2 linked regions of the Oryctolagus cuniculus genome follow. The protein of the gene in region 2 purifies or fractionates together with the protein of the main gene of each other region. This does not show direct contact. Links are inferred from orthologs where the notes say so. Each region holds a gene or a part of one and is shown on either strand. Other genes may lie near its edges.

Region 1 (7,871 bases), on a different chromosome or scaffold from region 2:
TAAGTTTATTTACCAGTCTTTGAGTGGGGCTGTGCTGGGGAGCTGAGTCATTGTTTCTACATAGAAAACTCTTGTTTGTTAGCAATGGATAAAGCAACTAGTCATACAACTGTAGGATTTTTTTCTTTTTTCCCATCTTTTATGTATTTCAACAGCTTTTAAAAAAATTGATTGGCAGAAGTATATAAATGTGTGAATGTGTGTGTGTGTGTGTGTGTGTGTGTGTGTGTATAGAGGGAGGGAGAGCGGGCAAGCAAGCACGAGCCAGCCCCATTTGCTGGTTCACTCCCAGCAGCCCAAGCCAGGAGCTGGGAACGTTCAGGTCTCCCGTGTGCATGACAGGATCCCAACTACGTGCCCCACCATCCGCTGCCTCTTAGAGTGTGAATTAGCAGGGAGTTGGAGTGGGAGCAGATCCGAACCAGGCACTCCAATATGGGATGGGCCCATCTTAACCAATGTACCAAATGCCCACCCAACTTTTTCAAAAGCAACTTCCCTTTTTGAGTGCTTCCTGAACTTTCTGCTTCTCATCATAAAACTGAAACTTGATTTCCATCCCCTTTATTACTGGTTGCCATCGGAGTTGCAGTGGCAGCAGGTTCAGTGAGATCTCTGGGAGCAAATGCTGCCAGTTCTTGGCAAGGATACACCAGGCCAGGAGGGGCAGGGGCCGAGGCCGGGACCTGTCCTCCTAGCTCTCAAAGTTCAGGAACGGGGGGTGCCCTGGGCAATCTGGAGAGGTGGTGAGTGGACACTGGTTCAGAGATCCTCCCAGCAGCCATGAGCCCACGCAGATCTCCAACTGTGGGGGAGGAAGCCATCCCAGGGAGCCAGTGCTACGCTGGTTAGCAAGAGAAACCAGGATTTTCAGCCTGTCAGCTGTCAGGTAACTAAGACGCGGTTGTGGTCGAACTTTTTTTAGTCTCCAGAGCTGACGGAGCAGATGCTTCGAGCGTCTTTAGAGGACAGCGTGAATGAGCACAGCACCCATTGTCCCCACACCCCTGAATTTTCAGTCACCGGTGGAACAGAGGAGAAGCCCAGTCTTCTCATGAGCTGTCTGGTAAGTCTCTCCTGGGACCCAGTGGTTACCAGCAGCTCAGTGTTGTCTTCCCACTCTAGTAAAAATAATGGCTCCCAAACAGGTCAATGTTTAATGCAGTTTTTTTTTTCTTGGAGGAATTGCTGGCACAGAACTGTGAAGGCCACAAGTCATTTCAGCTGGAGGCCAATCATTGTGTGAAGGGGAAGAGGCAGCCTAGGAGTGGGGCAGGAGTGTGGGGGTGGGGGTGGGGGAGGGTCAGGGAGCCCACCTGCACTGTGCTTGTGTAGTCAGCTCGGTAGTCCTAAGACCCAGTGGGTCACCCTGACACCCCTGCAGGTGGGTACAGGACAGGACGCACAGCAGGGCCACCTTTCAGCAAGTCTTCAGAAGTCCAAGGATTAGTGTCTGGCAACTCAGGTGTGAGGGACAGGACTACACAAGGAGGTACTGGAGCCACCTGTCTTAGACGCCTTAAGCTTGCTACAGGAACCATTATTTCTTATAAGTGATATATTACATATACATATACACACACATATATTAAGGTGATCAGAAAGTTCATAGGGTATGGAAGTAAAATATTTTTATTTTGGCACAAAAATGTCTAAAATCTGTGCACGAGGGGTCTTCAGAAAGTTCATGGGAAACATGTATTATGAAAACTTGAGGTATGGATTTCATAGCGAGAGCTGGTTCCAGGACGGGCGAGCCCACTGTTGGGCGTTTTGGAGGGGAGGTGAGAAACAGGAGGAAGCACAGTGGTTCATCAGGCTCCCAGGGATGAACAGTCAAAGGTAGACATTCCAGCAAGCCTGGGAGGTCGGTCCACCAGCAGCCCCTTTGAGGACCAGCCGCTCTGGCTGAACTCATTCCCACTTGTAACTGAAGCCGACCAGCACCGTCCAGGGTGTAGACATTCTAATTGTTGCCTCAGTGTCATTACTGGTTGCAGCTTCTGGCCACGGATGTGGGTAACTTTCCTAACAGATATGTCCTGTTTCACTCCAGGCCTGTGACACCTGGGCTGTGATCGTCTAGAGCTGGCCTGCATTCGCACCGTTCTCCTGGGCCGACCACAACTCACTCCCTCTCCAGCAGAGGCCTTGTACATAGCAACCTTTAACTTATAATTTATTTTGTATTAAAACTTTTCAAACACCTCTGCTCTTGCTGTTTCGTGGTCTAGGTTGAAAGTCAAGGAACAGAAAAAACGAAGTACCTTGGAGGAGATAAAACCAAATTTATTGTCCATCATTGTATGTTATATAAAAATCTAGAATAAGTTTGTACAGAAAAAAATGAGAGTGCAACAGTAATAATTTAAATGTTATTTTCCATGATATTGGGATGGTAACCGTCGCAACGCACGGGTGTCTGGGGGTCAGAGCAGGTTCTGTTCGCTGGCCACAGCCTGCCAGACAAGTTTCACTGTCCCTACTCTACTGGCTCTTGACAAAACTTTTGAGGTCCTCAAGGAAAGTTATGTACTCCTGGTGCTCCAGGGCGGTGCTGAGCTCCACCAGCTCATCTGCAAAAGTGTTGTCCACCCCTCGGTCTGCCAGGAAATCCATCAGGTGGTCATACAAGGCCTGCGGAAAACAGTGTGTTACACTGTGTAATGCCCACTAATGACAATGCTGCTTTCTCTCCTTGAACAAGGCAGGACGCTCCCCTACAAGGCCCAAGAGCACCCCACCCTGTCACTCACCCAGTCCAGGGAGTCTGTGTTGAGTGTGTAGTTGGTGTCCTTCCACTCAGACTCGCCGGAAGCCTGAAAGCTAACTTCCCTGATGGAGAAAATGTCACTCTCAGCCTCCTCCTCTTGTCCGACCTGGGAAGGAACAGTGTTCCAGGAAACACGGGTTTTTCAGGACAAGCCAGACAGGTGCACGGAAAAGGGAGCACTTCTAGTGTGAAACCCCAGCTTTACCCTGAGCTGACTTCCACGCGCCACCTGTCTCCCGTGCTTTGCTGCTCTAAGCCACAGTCTCCCACAGGTGTCTGCTAGTCCCAGGAGGCACCCCTCATCTCCCTGGGTGTCAAGGGCCCACACTCCGTTCTACCCACCTCATCCTCCGGGAAGTGACAGTCCAGTACGAGGGCTTTCTTGCCATCATTCTTTATAACTTCAACCACGAAATTCGGAGTTGATGTCAGTTCAGGCTGAGGAAACAAAAACACGTCTGCGTGTGCCACTATAGGAAGGGGTCAGAGCCCAGGCCAGGCCTCCAACGCTTCTGAGCATCTGATGGCCACCCCTGTCAGGATGATATTTAGCCCTTTACACTCACTTTAAACCTGCATTCCAGCCCCAGCTCTATGCACTCAACTGAGACTCAGATCTCTCTACTTCCTGAACCCATTTCTGCACCCACACACTGCAAAGCCAGCCACACAGCCAAGATCTCTTTCCGGCTTGGCTGTCTCAGGAGTCTGTTACAGCCCAGGTCAGAGGCTGGCGTGCCCGGCCCTCAGTGACAGGAGCAGACCAAGCCCAAAGTCAGGGAGCTGCCAGTCCAGGCGGCTGAGATGGAAGCGCTCAGGGAGCTGGGCTCTCCTTGCAGGCGCGTGAGACAACTCGGTCAGAAGGTCAGAGACCCTCTGGCCTTCATACTGGCGGGCTTCCGGGCTGAGTATACCACTTCCTAAAATGTCAGAAAACCAGACACCCCCAGCTCCCACCGATACGGCCGGCAAGCCAAGATCGCACCTGGCCAAGTGATGCCATCTCTGCTGCCCCTGGCTTTCCTACTCTGGCCAGGTGACTGGTGCTTTCCACCAGCTTCTGACTTAGGAACATCCTCCCCCGGGGAAAAGAAAACGGTGATTTCTGATAGCACACATCTCCCCGTCATGGGAAGGACTCAGTTCTGCTTCCTGTCCACAGGCTCTTAGCTCCTCCACTCCTGGTCCAGCTATCTGCTAATGGGCCTGGCACATGGGTGACGTCCTGGATGGAGCTTCTGGCTTGAGCCTGGCCCAGCCCTGACTGCTGTAGCCATGTGGGAAGTAAACCAGAGGATGGAAGATCTTTGTCCCTGTCAGTCTGCTTTCAAATAAATCTTTGAAAACAAAAACAAGAAAACCTGGTGTTTCTCTAGGCCCCTGGGGGAGCTGAGGCACAGACTGGGCACGATATTACGAGCTTACCTCCTGTTCCTCAGCCTTCTGTCCTTGGGAGGACTCCTCCTCACCATCAAAGGTTGGTGGGATGCTATTGTTGATGTTGAAAGTGACAGTGATCCTACAAAGTCAAAAGAAACGCAACAGACATGGTCCAGTTGTAGTGGAGTAGTCTAGCCGTTAGGTATGGAGGCCTGCTACACAGAAACAATCTGATAGGAACGATGTTTCCCCTTCACCAGCTGACAGTCTACACTGGCAGAAGTGGACAGAGGCTGGGTACCCACATCCAGCCCTAAGAGGGAGCAGGTCTCCAGCACACCTCCATGTGCAGAGCTCCAAGTGATGACGCCATGCACCAGCTCCTCCCATCAGGCTAGCGCCTGCTGGTTACCTACCACCAGCTGACACTGCTCACTGGGGTGGGGTATCGTGAAAGTGAGCAGATAAGAAGCTGGGGGGATGGAACAGAAGCCCCTCTAGGAGCTTTTCTCGGGGCTGGTGGTGTGGCACAACAGGATAGGGCGTTGCCTATGATGCCAGCATCCAATACGGGCACTGGTTCGTGGAGTAGCTCTACTTCCGAGCTAGCTCCCTGCTAATGGCCTGGGAAAAGCAGTGGAAGATGACCCTACTGCTTGGGCCCCTGCCCCTCATGAGGGAGACCTGAAGGAAGCTCCTGGCTTCAGCCTGGCCCAGCCTCAGCTGTTGTGGCCATCTGGGAGTAAACCGGAGTTACAACTCTACCTTTCAAACAAACAAGTCTTTAAAAAGAAAAAAAAAAAAAAAAGCTTTCTCCATGACAAAATCTGCCGCTGGGAGGAAGGGAAGGCACACTGCGGGGATACACCTGAGGACTCAGAGCAGGCCTGCGCCCTGGAAGACAAGGCCAGGCAAAGGACAGTGCGTTCACTGTGGACTCATCCCACGGGCTGGAACACCAACACATGACAACCGTAAGGTACAAGAATCCTCGTGACATTCCATGTTCCGAAGGTTGAGTCACAATCCCTGTGACAGTGGGGTAGACCAGGTGTGGCTGGGCAGCGCAGACCCCGCACCCTGCACACCACTGCTCAGCTAACGGGCTGCTCCTTCCCAAGGCAACAGCGGCAGGCTGAGGCTCAGCCCCAGAAACTATCTGCAACCACGCTGACCAAGCTGAGTTCCTCGACACAGAAACACAGCACTGTTCATCAGGGTATCATTTCTAACGGCCCCAAACTGGCTACGAAAACCGGAAGAAAAGTTCAAGTGAAGCTTCAGTCGTCAACTGACACTGTGTATGGGCGAAACCCCTGCACCCTAGGGGAAAAAGCATCAGAACCCTACACTTCACACTGTACACAAAAGTTGACTCAAAGTGATCACGGGCCTAAAGAGCTAAACTCCTCTTACAAGTAAATCCGGGCATAAATATCTAGAAACTTTGGTTACCCAACAGTTTGTCAAATGTGATGTCAAAAAAGCACAAATGACAAAAAAACAAAAAAAAAGCCCACATACACAAAAAACAAAACCCAGTAAATTGAGCTTCATCAAAATTAGAAGTGTATGTTGGGGCCTGTGCTTTGGCACAGCGGGTCAACGCCCTGGCCTGCAGTGCAGGCATCCCATATGGGCGCCAGTTTGAGACCCGGCTGCTCCACTCCATACCTGGCTCTCTGCTATGGCCTGGGAAAGCAATAGAAGATGGCTTAAGTCCTTGGGCCCCTGCACCCATGTGGGAGACGCAGAAGCTCCTGACTCCTGGTTTTGGATTGGCACAGCTCTGGTCGTTGTGGCCAACTGGGGAGTGACTGCGTAACTCTTTCAAATAAATAAATAAATCTTTAAAAAAATAGTTCACTTGGTGTAGTCAAACAATAACTAAAAAAAGTGTATGTCAATACCAATAACATAGGGAAAGGAAAAAAACACCCAAGGATGGGAGAAAACACTTGCACACCCTGTGTCTGATAAGGGGAACTGCACCCAGAATATCTAAAGCCCACCTTTAAGGCAATAACCTGGTAACCTGGATTCAGCTCCCAGCTCCAGCGTAGCCTATACCTGGACATTTCAATATTTAGGGAGTGAAGTAGCACATGGGAGCTATCTGTCTTTCAAAACGACAGTAAAGGCCGGCGCTGTGGCTCAATAGGCTAATCCTCTGCATTGCGGCGCCTGGCACACCGGGTTCTAGTCCCGGTCGGGGCGCCAGATTCTGTCCCAGTTGCCCTTCTTCCAGGCCAGCTCTCTGCTGTGGCCCGGGAAGGCAGTGAAGGATGGCCCAAGTGCTTGGGCCCTGCACCCCATGGGAGACCAGGAGAAGCACCTGGCTCCTGCCTTCGGACTGGCGCAGCGCCGGCCGTAGCAGCCATTTGGGGGGTGAACCAACGGAAGGAAAACCTTTCTCTCTGTCTCTGTCTATAACTATCTGTCAGATAAATAAAATTAAAAAAATAAATAAATAAAAAACCAGAATCACAAAGTAAATAGAACCCTGTCAAATGCCTGCCAACAAATGAATGGATAACTGACAGAACAAGGACATGAGCCTCAGGCATTGTGGCTCTTTGCCTGAGGGACCCTTTACCTTCCTTCAAGAGACCAGCTCAGTCCTACGCCCTGTACTGTTGCCCACCCTACCCTCTGCATTCTGCATTCCATAGAAAAGCTAGCTCAGCTCCACTGCACCTCATGGCCCTTATCAGGCCTATGCTATTTAAATCCAGCCCGTAAATAAATTCCTGCTCTCTCGGCCACGTGTTCTGTCTGTGCGCATGCCAGTGGTTGGCCATCTTTGCAAATTCACTTGTCTTTTTTTTTTTCCTTTATGATTTATTTATTGTATTTGAAAGACAGAGTTAGAAAGAGATCTTCCATCTGCTGGTTCACTCCCCAAATGGCTACAATGGCCAGATGGAAACCAGGAACTTCTTCCAGGCCTCCCATGTGGGTGCAGGGACCCAAGCACTTGAGCCATTTTCCGCTGCTTTCCCAGGAGCAGAAACAGGGCGCTGGGTCAGAAGTGGAGCAGCCAAGACTTGAACCGGCACCCATATGGGATGCAGGCACCGCAGGTGGCAGCTTAGCGTGCTATGCCACAGCGCTGGCTCCCATTTTTCTTCTTAATTGATTTTGGCCGTTGACTTCGTATCTTGTCTCCTCTGGTCTGTCTCCCATTTCCTTACATAAATAAAATCTAGCATATCCACATAATGAAATATTATGTTGTCATTAAAAAAGCTAACTATTGGTACATGCTATTACTAGTATGAATGAACCTCAAAAACAACGGGGGTGCGGGGGTGACAGTGTTGTGGCACAGCTGGCTAAGCTGCTGCCTACAACGCTGGCACCCATAGGCTGCTCTGCTTTGGATCCAGCTCCCTGCTCAGACGCCTCTCTGTAACCTTCTCTCTGTAATTCTCTTACTCTCTGCCTCTCAAATAAATTAATCTTAAAAAAAAAAAAAAAAAAAGCTGGCCCAAGTGTTGGACCCTTGCACCCACGTGGGAGGACATGGAAAAAGTGCCTGCTGCCTGGCTCCTGGCTCCAGCTTGGCCCAGCTCTGGCTGTTGGGGTGGATGGAAGACGTCTCTAACTCTACCTTTCAAGCCAATAAATCAATCTTGGGGGGGGGGGGGGAGGTAGACACAAATGGCCACATATTGCATGACTCCCACTCACACAAAATGTCCCACACAGGCAAATC
Region 2 (7,290 bases):
CAAGATTCATGTGCTGTTTTTCTGGGACTCCCGCTTGGGCTCAGACAAAGGCATGAGATGGGGAAGAGGCATCCTACCCAAGGGTCTTTCCTGTCCCAACTGGGGCTTCTGTCTGGGTTTCAGGGAGCTGAGGTGCAGACGGTGGTGGTGACTTTAGATTGCAGGCAGCCAGAGTGGCCCCAGGCGGGGGGGGGGGGGGGACACACAGACTCTCCGCTGAGACCTGGAGTAATCCAGCTGGGTTAAAAAGCTGCTCAATGCAGAATGCTCAGGAGGTGGTGGTGTCAGGCTTGACACCCTATTTCCTATCCCTTCCATGGAAGGGCTCTCTTAGGAAAGAGGCAGGGCCAAGGTTTCCAGCTCAGTGCCATTTCCTACTCATCAGTAGAGGTTGTCCAGGGCACCAAGCCCTAAACTAAACCTAAACTTTCCTCCAGCTCCTCCTGACCTGGAGAGTGGGGCTGAGAGCTCTGACATCAACCCAAAGCAACAGCCCAGCAGCTGAGTTGCTCTGACTGTACCTGTGTGTTTTAATTTGCCGGGCAGAGAACCAGCCTGTGTGTGTTGGATGACTAATGGCTCATTGATGAGTGCCCTGGAAAGCAGGAGAGGGGCTGAGCAAAGGGTGAGGCCTCAGCTGCCTGAGTTGCTGGAAGCCTAGAGAGCAGTGTCCACAGTCACTCCACCAACTTCAGGGGCTCCCCGCCTACCTGAGTGCCACTTCCAGCAGCCCTGCAAAGGATGAAGGTCTCCCTGCTTGAGAGATTCCTCCCTAAACCTCTAGTCCTAGCCCCAGGGCCACCCCCTTGGCAAATCTTTGGCAACCAAGCCCAGGTAACAGACCTCTGCCTAGCACCAATACTGCTTTGGCTTTGAGTCATTTGGTCTACATCCATGCTACTGCCCCTGGAGGGCAGAGATCACGCTGATTTTTACCTCTGCCCACACCCTGCCCCCACCCCCACCAACAAGTAGCAGGCACAGGCCCGGTCTGGGCAGCTGACACCTGCCCCCAGGCGGTGCCCCAGATGGAACACTGGCTGTTGCACAGGTCACTAATAACCCATTAATCTCCTCCTCTTAGATTAAAGCCCTGAAATGAAACAACACCTCTGTTCATTCTTTGTTTGCTGTGTCCCCATTCCCACCCCTTAACTGAGACAAATCTATGAGCTACCTTTAGGGACCTGAGAGTAGAGGAAAGGAGCAGTTGAATATGAACTGGGGAGGTGGCCTAGGAGAAAGAGAGGCCAGAGGTGGCGATGCCTGGAAAGCTGCCTGTCCTCCATCATTGGACCCCAGGCAGCCCTGCCCCTACCAGAGTTGCCCCATTTCTTCACAGCATTCCTAGGTGAACCCAAGGAGACCTCTCAGGTTCAACTAGCAGGTAGGGCACCCCCCCCCCCCATCTAGTTTCCTTTTCCCAAGAGTCAAACGGACTCTGCCAATTCCTGCAGTGCACACCAGCTTCCTTGAGGCCTTAAGGGTCCCAAAAGCCCTGGGAGAGGGCGTTCCAGTAGCGCCCTGGGGACTGGTTTGGTGCCGGTGGGGAACCAGCCCCATTATCCCTGGTAAGGGCACGAGAGAGATCGAGAGAGATCGCGGGGCTGGCAACCTCGCTCGAACCGTTTCTCAATAAAATTTCAGTCCAGGCAGCCAAGTGTCCAGGGGGCGCCAGAGGTTTCAGCTGGACCCTCTGTCTTTTCCACTGCCCATTACTCAGCTCCATGAATTGAGAGGCTGCCTGCCGCAGCAGTGCCTGGTGCGTAAAATGCGCTTAGGGGGATGTGCTACACCTTGAAGCGCCTGAGGAAGATTCCTGGGATGCCCAACCCAGCGGTGGTGTTTCTGAGGACTCTCCCCCTTCTCAAGTACAAGTCAATCCAAGGCCAGGCTGGCAGCACAGGGGAGAGCGCCCGCAGTGCCAGTCTGCAGCCCCAGTTAGAGGCTCATCTTTCTGCTAAACCACGTTTTGAAATTAGACAACTCGCTGCCCCACAAAGAAAACAAGGGGGCTGGGCCAATGATCTCTTAAGTGACTCCAGCTTTCGGAATGCAACCCCCCTGGCCTCCAGCCCAGCGCCCACGGGAGGGACCCCTTCTTCAGCCACACCGGCTGCAGCCCTCCCCTCTTGGCAGCACAACTGAGCTTGCTGAGGTGTCCTGAGGATTTTGTTTTTATTGATTCAAAAGTTCATTCACCAGTCCCTAAATACTCTTATGTACAAAATATAGACTTTTGCTGCTGTGAAATCGCATAATAAATACAAGTGTGTAGAACAAGGGAAAGGCTATATAATTTACCATACCAAAACTCATTCCAAAAGGCATCACATGATTTACAAATTGATTTCTTTTTTAAGGGACGCGCGGGGCTCCAGGCACCTGCTGCTCCAACTCACGTGTCCTGCGCAGGAGGCAAGGAGGCTGGAAAGGTGGTCCCTGCGACCGGCTGGCTGGCTGGTGCTTTCCCAATTCACAGCCTGGTCTCCAGCGCCCGGGAGGGCAATGGCTTCGAAAAGTGCAAGAGGAGAAGGCAGGGGCTCGCCCTCCAAAATTGAGGCGGTGTGGGGCAGCTCCAGACCCCGGACTGGATGCGGGTAGAAGAAGTAAGCGGCGTCTTTGGAGTAGGGTGGGGGTTGGGGGAGCAAGCACCGAGAGACCACATGTGGGGTTCAGTTACACTGTGAGAGGGGTGGGCATGAGTGAGAGTAGGGTGATCGGGCCGCGCGGGGGGGGGGGCTGCGGGGGCGTGGTGCTACCATCCTCCTCTTCTCTGAGCGAGGTGCGTAAGTGGGTGCTGGGAGAAGGACCTGAGCCATGCTCGAGCCTGCAATGCCGGCCTTGTGTGCGGCGGCAGGGGTTTTCGAGGCGCGGAGGGCCTGCTGCCAGCCTAATGGAACCCAGCCTGCCGCCCCGCGGGCGCCTTGGCCGGTCAGGAGCAGGAGGCGCAAGTCTGTTTGAGGGCCGCCACTGCCCACCCGCAGTCGCTCCGCCTGCCTCCTCTCCCAGTACCCTCTGCCCAGCAACCGAGTGGCCACTTCACAGAAAGTCTGAGAAAGCCAAGGCGCCTGGGCGCAGGCAGGCGGGGGAGCTGGGCACCTGAAGCCCAGTGCGCTCCTCCGGCGAGGCGGCGGGGCTCAGACTGCCAGCCTGGGAGACTGGAGAATAGAGAGAGCCCCAGTCCCCGGGGGAGCCGCCGTCAGGGCTGCCCAGCTCCGCAGAGGGCAGCACTGGCTGCTCTGGCCCGTAGAAGCTGTGGTCGGCTATGCGCAGCGCCTGCGTCAGCGCCCAGATGTAGTTGTGGGCGAAGCGCAGCGTCTCGATCTTGGTGAGCTTCGCGTCGTCGGGGAATGTGGGCAGGACTCCGCGCAGCGCGTCCAGCGCGGAGTTGAGGTTGTGCATGCGATTGCGCTCGCGGTCGTTGGCTTTCTTGCGCCGACTCCGTCGCTGCTTGCTCAGCGCCAGCTCGCTCTTGGGCCGGCTGCGCCCCCCGCGCCGCGCCCGGAGTTTCCTCGCTGCCCCTCGGCAGCCGCCTCCTTCAGCTTCCGCGCAGTCCCGGAGCATAAGTGTGGGGCTAGGCGGGGCGGACAAGGCGCTGGGCACTTCGCGGTCCGAAGCTCCGGGGAAGGGTGGCTCGGTCTCATGGGTCGCTCGGAGAGTGGGCGCACCCAAAGGATGAGGCACCATCCTGCCGCAGGGTAAGAACTAACGGTAAGAATGGGACAGTGACCTAGGGCGGTCCCCGATCCCGAGGCCAGGTGGGGGAAAACTGAAAAACACCCCCTCCCGATCCGAGGGCCCCCAGTACCCTCGCTCGCCCCTCGGTGGCCTCCAAGTGTTACCTTGTTGTGCAGGCGCAAATAGAGAGCCGTGAGCAGCGGGGAGCTGAGCGCTCCTTTCTCCGGCCAAGTTCAGCTGAGCTGCAAGCGCCCCCGCCTGGGAATTGCCCCAGCCTCCGAGGAGAAGAGGAGAGTGAAGGGGGTCCCGGGTCTCTTTCGCTGTCTTTCAGCCGGCAGAGACCGCGGGGCTTGTCTGAGCTGCGAGGCGTGTGCCCCTTGGCACGCTTTATCCGTTCGGCCTGGGCCAGGAGCGTGCCGGCCCGACTGCTGCCCGCGCCACCGGCCAATCAGCGCAGGGGCCCGGGGCCCGCGCCACGCGAGCCCGCTCCTCCCCCGCGGGGCACAGCTGGATTCCGGACAAAGGACCGGGGCCGAGGGGAGGGGAGCGCTGCTCTGTTTGCTCTCTCCCCGCGGGCTCGGTCCCAGCAACTCTCGGCTCCTCAAAGAGCCTCGCCTAGCGAGAAGAGGCTCGTCTGGCTCGCCTCCCGCTGCCCTAGACCGCTTTGCTCCTATCCCGTCTTTCCTCGGCATCTCTCCAGACCCTCTCGGCAACCCTAGGAGGCCTGCGGGCAAGGCCAGTTCCCGCGTGTTACACAAGGGGCAATAGAGGCACGGAGGGCCAGTCGGCTCGCCCGGAAGTGCACAGCAAGATGGTGCCTGGACGCTTGAGTAGCCGGGTGTCCAAAAGGTTACCCTGCCCTCCTGCCCCACGGGTCCTAGGGTGGCGCTGCAGGGACTCTATCGGGGAGTTAGATTGGTCTATGCCCCTTCCATTCAGAGCCCTGGGGAGGGGGGTCCGAGCCCCTGCCCCTCCCTGAGTTGCGCTCCTCATCCCCATCTGGGGGGCTCAGACATTTTGTCACCCCCTCCTCCAGACTCCCATCCCCTACTGATATTTTGCCATTCCCACTCATAGACAGTAACCTAGCACTCTGACCAGGGCCTGGGTGCCCAGAGCTGGGGGTGGGGAGTGTGAGAGGTCCAGAGGGGGCCAGGCGTTCTTGGCAAGCCTTGGGTCTTGCTAATGCGTGGGTGTTCTGGCACTGGGATAAGGGGATCAGCCGTGTCTCACTTTAGTCCCCCACTCCCACTCCTGCCAACCACAGGGGGCAAGGGCTGCCTATTTCACCTGGCTCGGCTCCCTGTGGAGCATCACACAGGGGTTCCCGGCAGCACTGGGCAGGGACTGTCCAAAGCCTTCGCCTGCCTGTCTGCAGGTCTGGAAGTCTTTCCAGAGTGCCTCTTCCCTCTTTACCCCTCCCTTCCCTGCCTCAGACACTCTTCTGCTTCTAGTCACTCAGGGAGAGAGGGGTTGCTGCTTCCATACCTCTCTCTTGACCAGGATGTGCCTGGGAAGGAAGCTGAGGTCGGAGATTCAGTCTCCCAGGTGGTGAAAGGCTTCCATTTCTAGCAGGTGCAGGTACCTTGGGCCTTGCCGAATCTGCAGGAAGCAGGCCACAGGACCCAGCTGACTGGAGATCCGATGAGGGGGTGATATAGGTCTTCAGGGTCTGCCCTGTTGTCAGCCTCCCACCACCCAGGCTGCATGGTGGGTGAAATTCTCTCCAAAACAGAGGGTGTGATGCTTGGGGGCCGGTGGGTGAGGCAGGCTGCAGGATTGGGCAGGGGTCTCACAGTTCCTGTGGATCTCAGCTGATGGGCTGGGAGCAGAGGCACCTACCCTTGCTGCCTGGAAATGAAGTTTGGGGTCAGGGTAGGAGCCATCAAAGGGACCAGAAGGGATTTTTGGCTCAGCATTTTTGCTGTGGCTCCTCCCTTAGGTCAGGACTTGGCACAAGCTTGTCTGTCATAATGAAAACTGGAGGTCCCCTTTACAGATGGGAAAATCAAGGCCAGGGGAAGGGTGCCTCAGGTCATACAGCTTATTCTATCAGAACCACATAGAACTTAACATCCTGACTCCTAGTCCTGGATGTTTCCCTTGCGCAGGCTGCTTTTCTTAATTTGGAGGAAAATGTTTTCTCAAGGCAAGAGAGACCTCAGAGGGAGTCCTGAGTGTGTGAAGACTGATGGGATTGGATTGGACTGGAAAAAATTAATGGCCCCCATCTCCCAGCCAAGGAGAGGTGGTTGCACACACACTCGTCTTGTCTTTCCACTTTCCTGCAGGATTTAGAGCCTTGAAAACTAGGGTCTGGGAGAGGACCCCAAAGCCTGTTCCTAGGACCCCTGGTCCCCTCCAGGCTCCTTTGAGGGAGCCCTGACCACGAGGGACTCAAGCACCCTTGTGAGTCCCTGGAGAATTGAAGAGCAGGCCACAGCTGAGACTCTGATATAGAGGTGGAGTTGCGAGAACATGGCCTAATGGGTACTGGCCAGAGCCACAGGGAGGCTGCCTGCGCCTGAGAGGATTCTGGGATTCTTTGGGGTTGTCTTGATTATAGAGGATTCTGAGACCCGCCGGGAATTCTAATCCAGCTTCCCCATTACTCCTTCAGCTCAGAGCCCTCTAGGGCTCTCAGGCCGCCACCACTCCTCTTTGCGCAAAAAGCAGTTAGGAAGAGGCGCGCGCCGCGGCGGAATCAGCTGCCTCCCTGCAGAGGCAAGGATGCGCGCCGCTCTCGCTCCGGCCAGGAAGTGGGGGCGGAGGTCGAAGAGTCCCTGGAGATTCGAAATTGGTAATCAACGCCCTCCCTCTTGGCTGCCGGGGACGTACAGACCCCTATCCAAAGTTAATTCCTGAGCTTTTGGCGGCGGAGGCGCAAATGGTTACCGCTCCGTGCGCCCTGGCTATGTTTGTAAAACCGCTGGTCCCGCCCGGAGCAGAGCCCGTTCCCGCAGCTCCTAGTCATCCACCGCCTCCAGGAACCCCGCGCCCCTCGATTCCTTCGGAACTAGGCTTGCTTGGAGGATGAAAGGGTCCAAGAGAGAGGCGACAGCCAGGCGCCTGGAGAACGCGGGCAGATTGGAAAAGAAGGAAGGCAGCGGCTGCTCCTACCGCCTTCCCGTCGGCAGGGGAGGGGGGTCTTAGCACTGCCTGGGGGCTCTTTGAGAACGGAGTGGGGAGGGAGGGGGGCCGCAGGAAGCTGAATAGCTAGTGGCTTGCCAGAGAAGGGGGCTTCTTTCTCTCGCCTTCGCCTCGGCACTGAAAGAGGAGAAGACAAAAATCTGGCGAGCGAGCTGCCCGGGCCGAGACGGGCCACTTCAAACAGCCCTTCAAACAAAAGGAGACGGCGAAAAGAAAGCCCCACCTGTCTCCAGTGTTTGCTAAAATAATAATAAATAGATTTCGTTTAATAAATAATTACAAGAGATTGTAAAGTGGAGTGCTTTGGAAAACATCTAGCGCGGGAGTCTGCACAGCCAGCCGTCACCTGCTCCCAAGGCGGACAAGTTTATTGTTAAGCCACCCCCCAACTAGTTCTCCTCAGATAAACTCTCCCTCGTTTTCACAATGACTGTTTACTCATAGTTAGCACAATATTAC

What was found.
Region 1: the proteins of NEUROG3 (region 2) and C1QBP purify together in Homo sapiens (affinity purification with mass spectrometry; 3 studies listed by BioGRID and IntAct, counting the BioPlex papers as one, with this or other methods). This does not show direct contact. The link is inferred for Oryctolagus cuniculus from reciprocal best matches to the Homo sapiens genes NEUROG3 and C1QBP.

What each region holds. Positions count from the first base shown.
Region 1 is NC_091448.1:50,898,389-50,906,259, reverse strand, and holds the end of C1QBP (complement component 1 Q subcomponent-binding protein, mitochondrial), read right to left. Parts: intron 4,293-7,871; coding exon 4,199-4,292; intron 3,212-4,198; coding exon 3,116-3,211; intron 2,880-3,115; coding exon 2,757-2,879; intron 2,638-2,756; coding exon 2,488-2,637; 3' UTR 2,269-2,487; downstream 1-2,268. Other genes in the region: RPAIN (RPA-interacting protein), read left to right, coding at 926-1,066, 2,057-2,086.
Region 2 is NC_091446.1:61,288,314-61,295,603, forward strand, and holds NEUROG3 (neurogenin-3), read right to left. Parts: upstream 4,086-7,290; 5' UTR 3,846-4,085; intron 3,692-3,845; 5' UTR 3,691-3,691; coding exon 3,043-3,690; 3' UTR 2,610-3,042; downstream 1-2,609. UniProt on the Homo sapiens protein: Acts as a transcriptional regulator. Together with NKX2-2, initiates transcriptional activation of NEUROD1. Involved in neurogenesis. Also required for the specification of a common precursor of the 4 pancreatic endocrine cell types.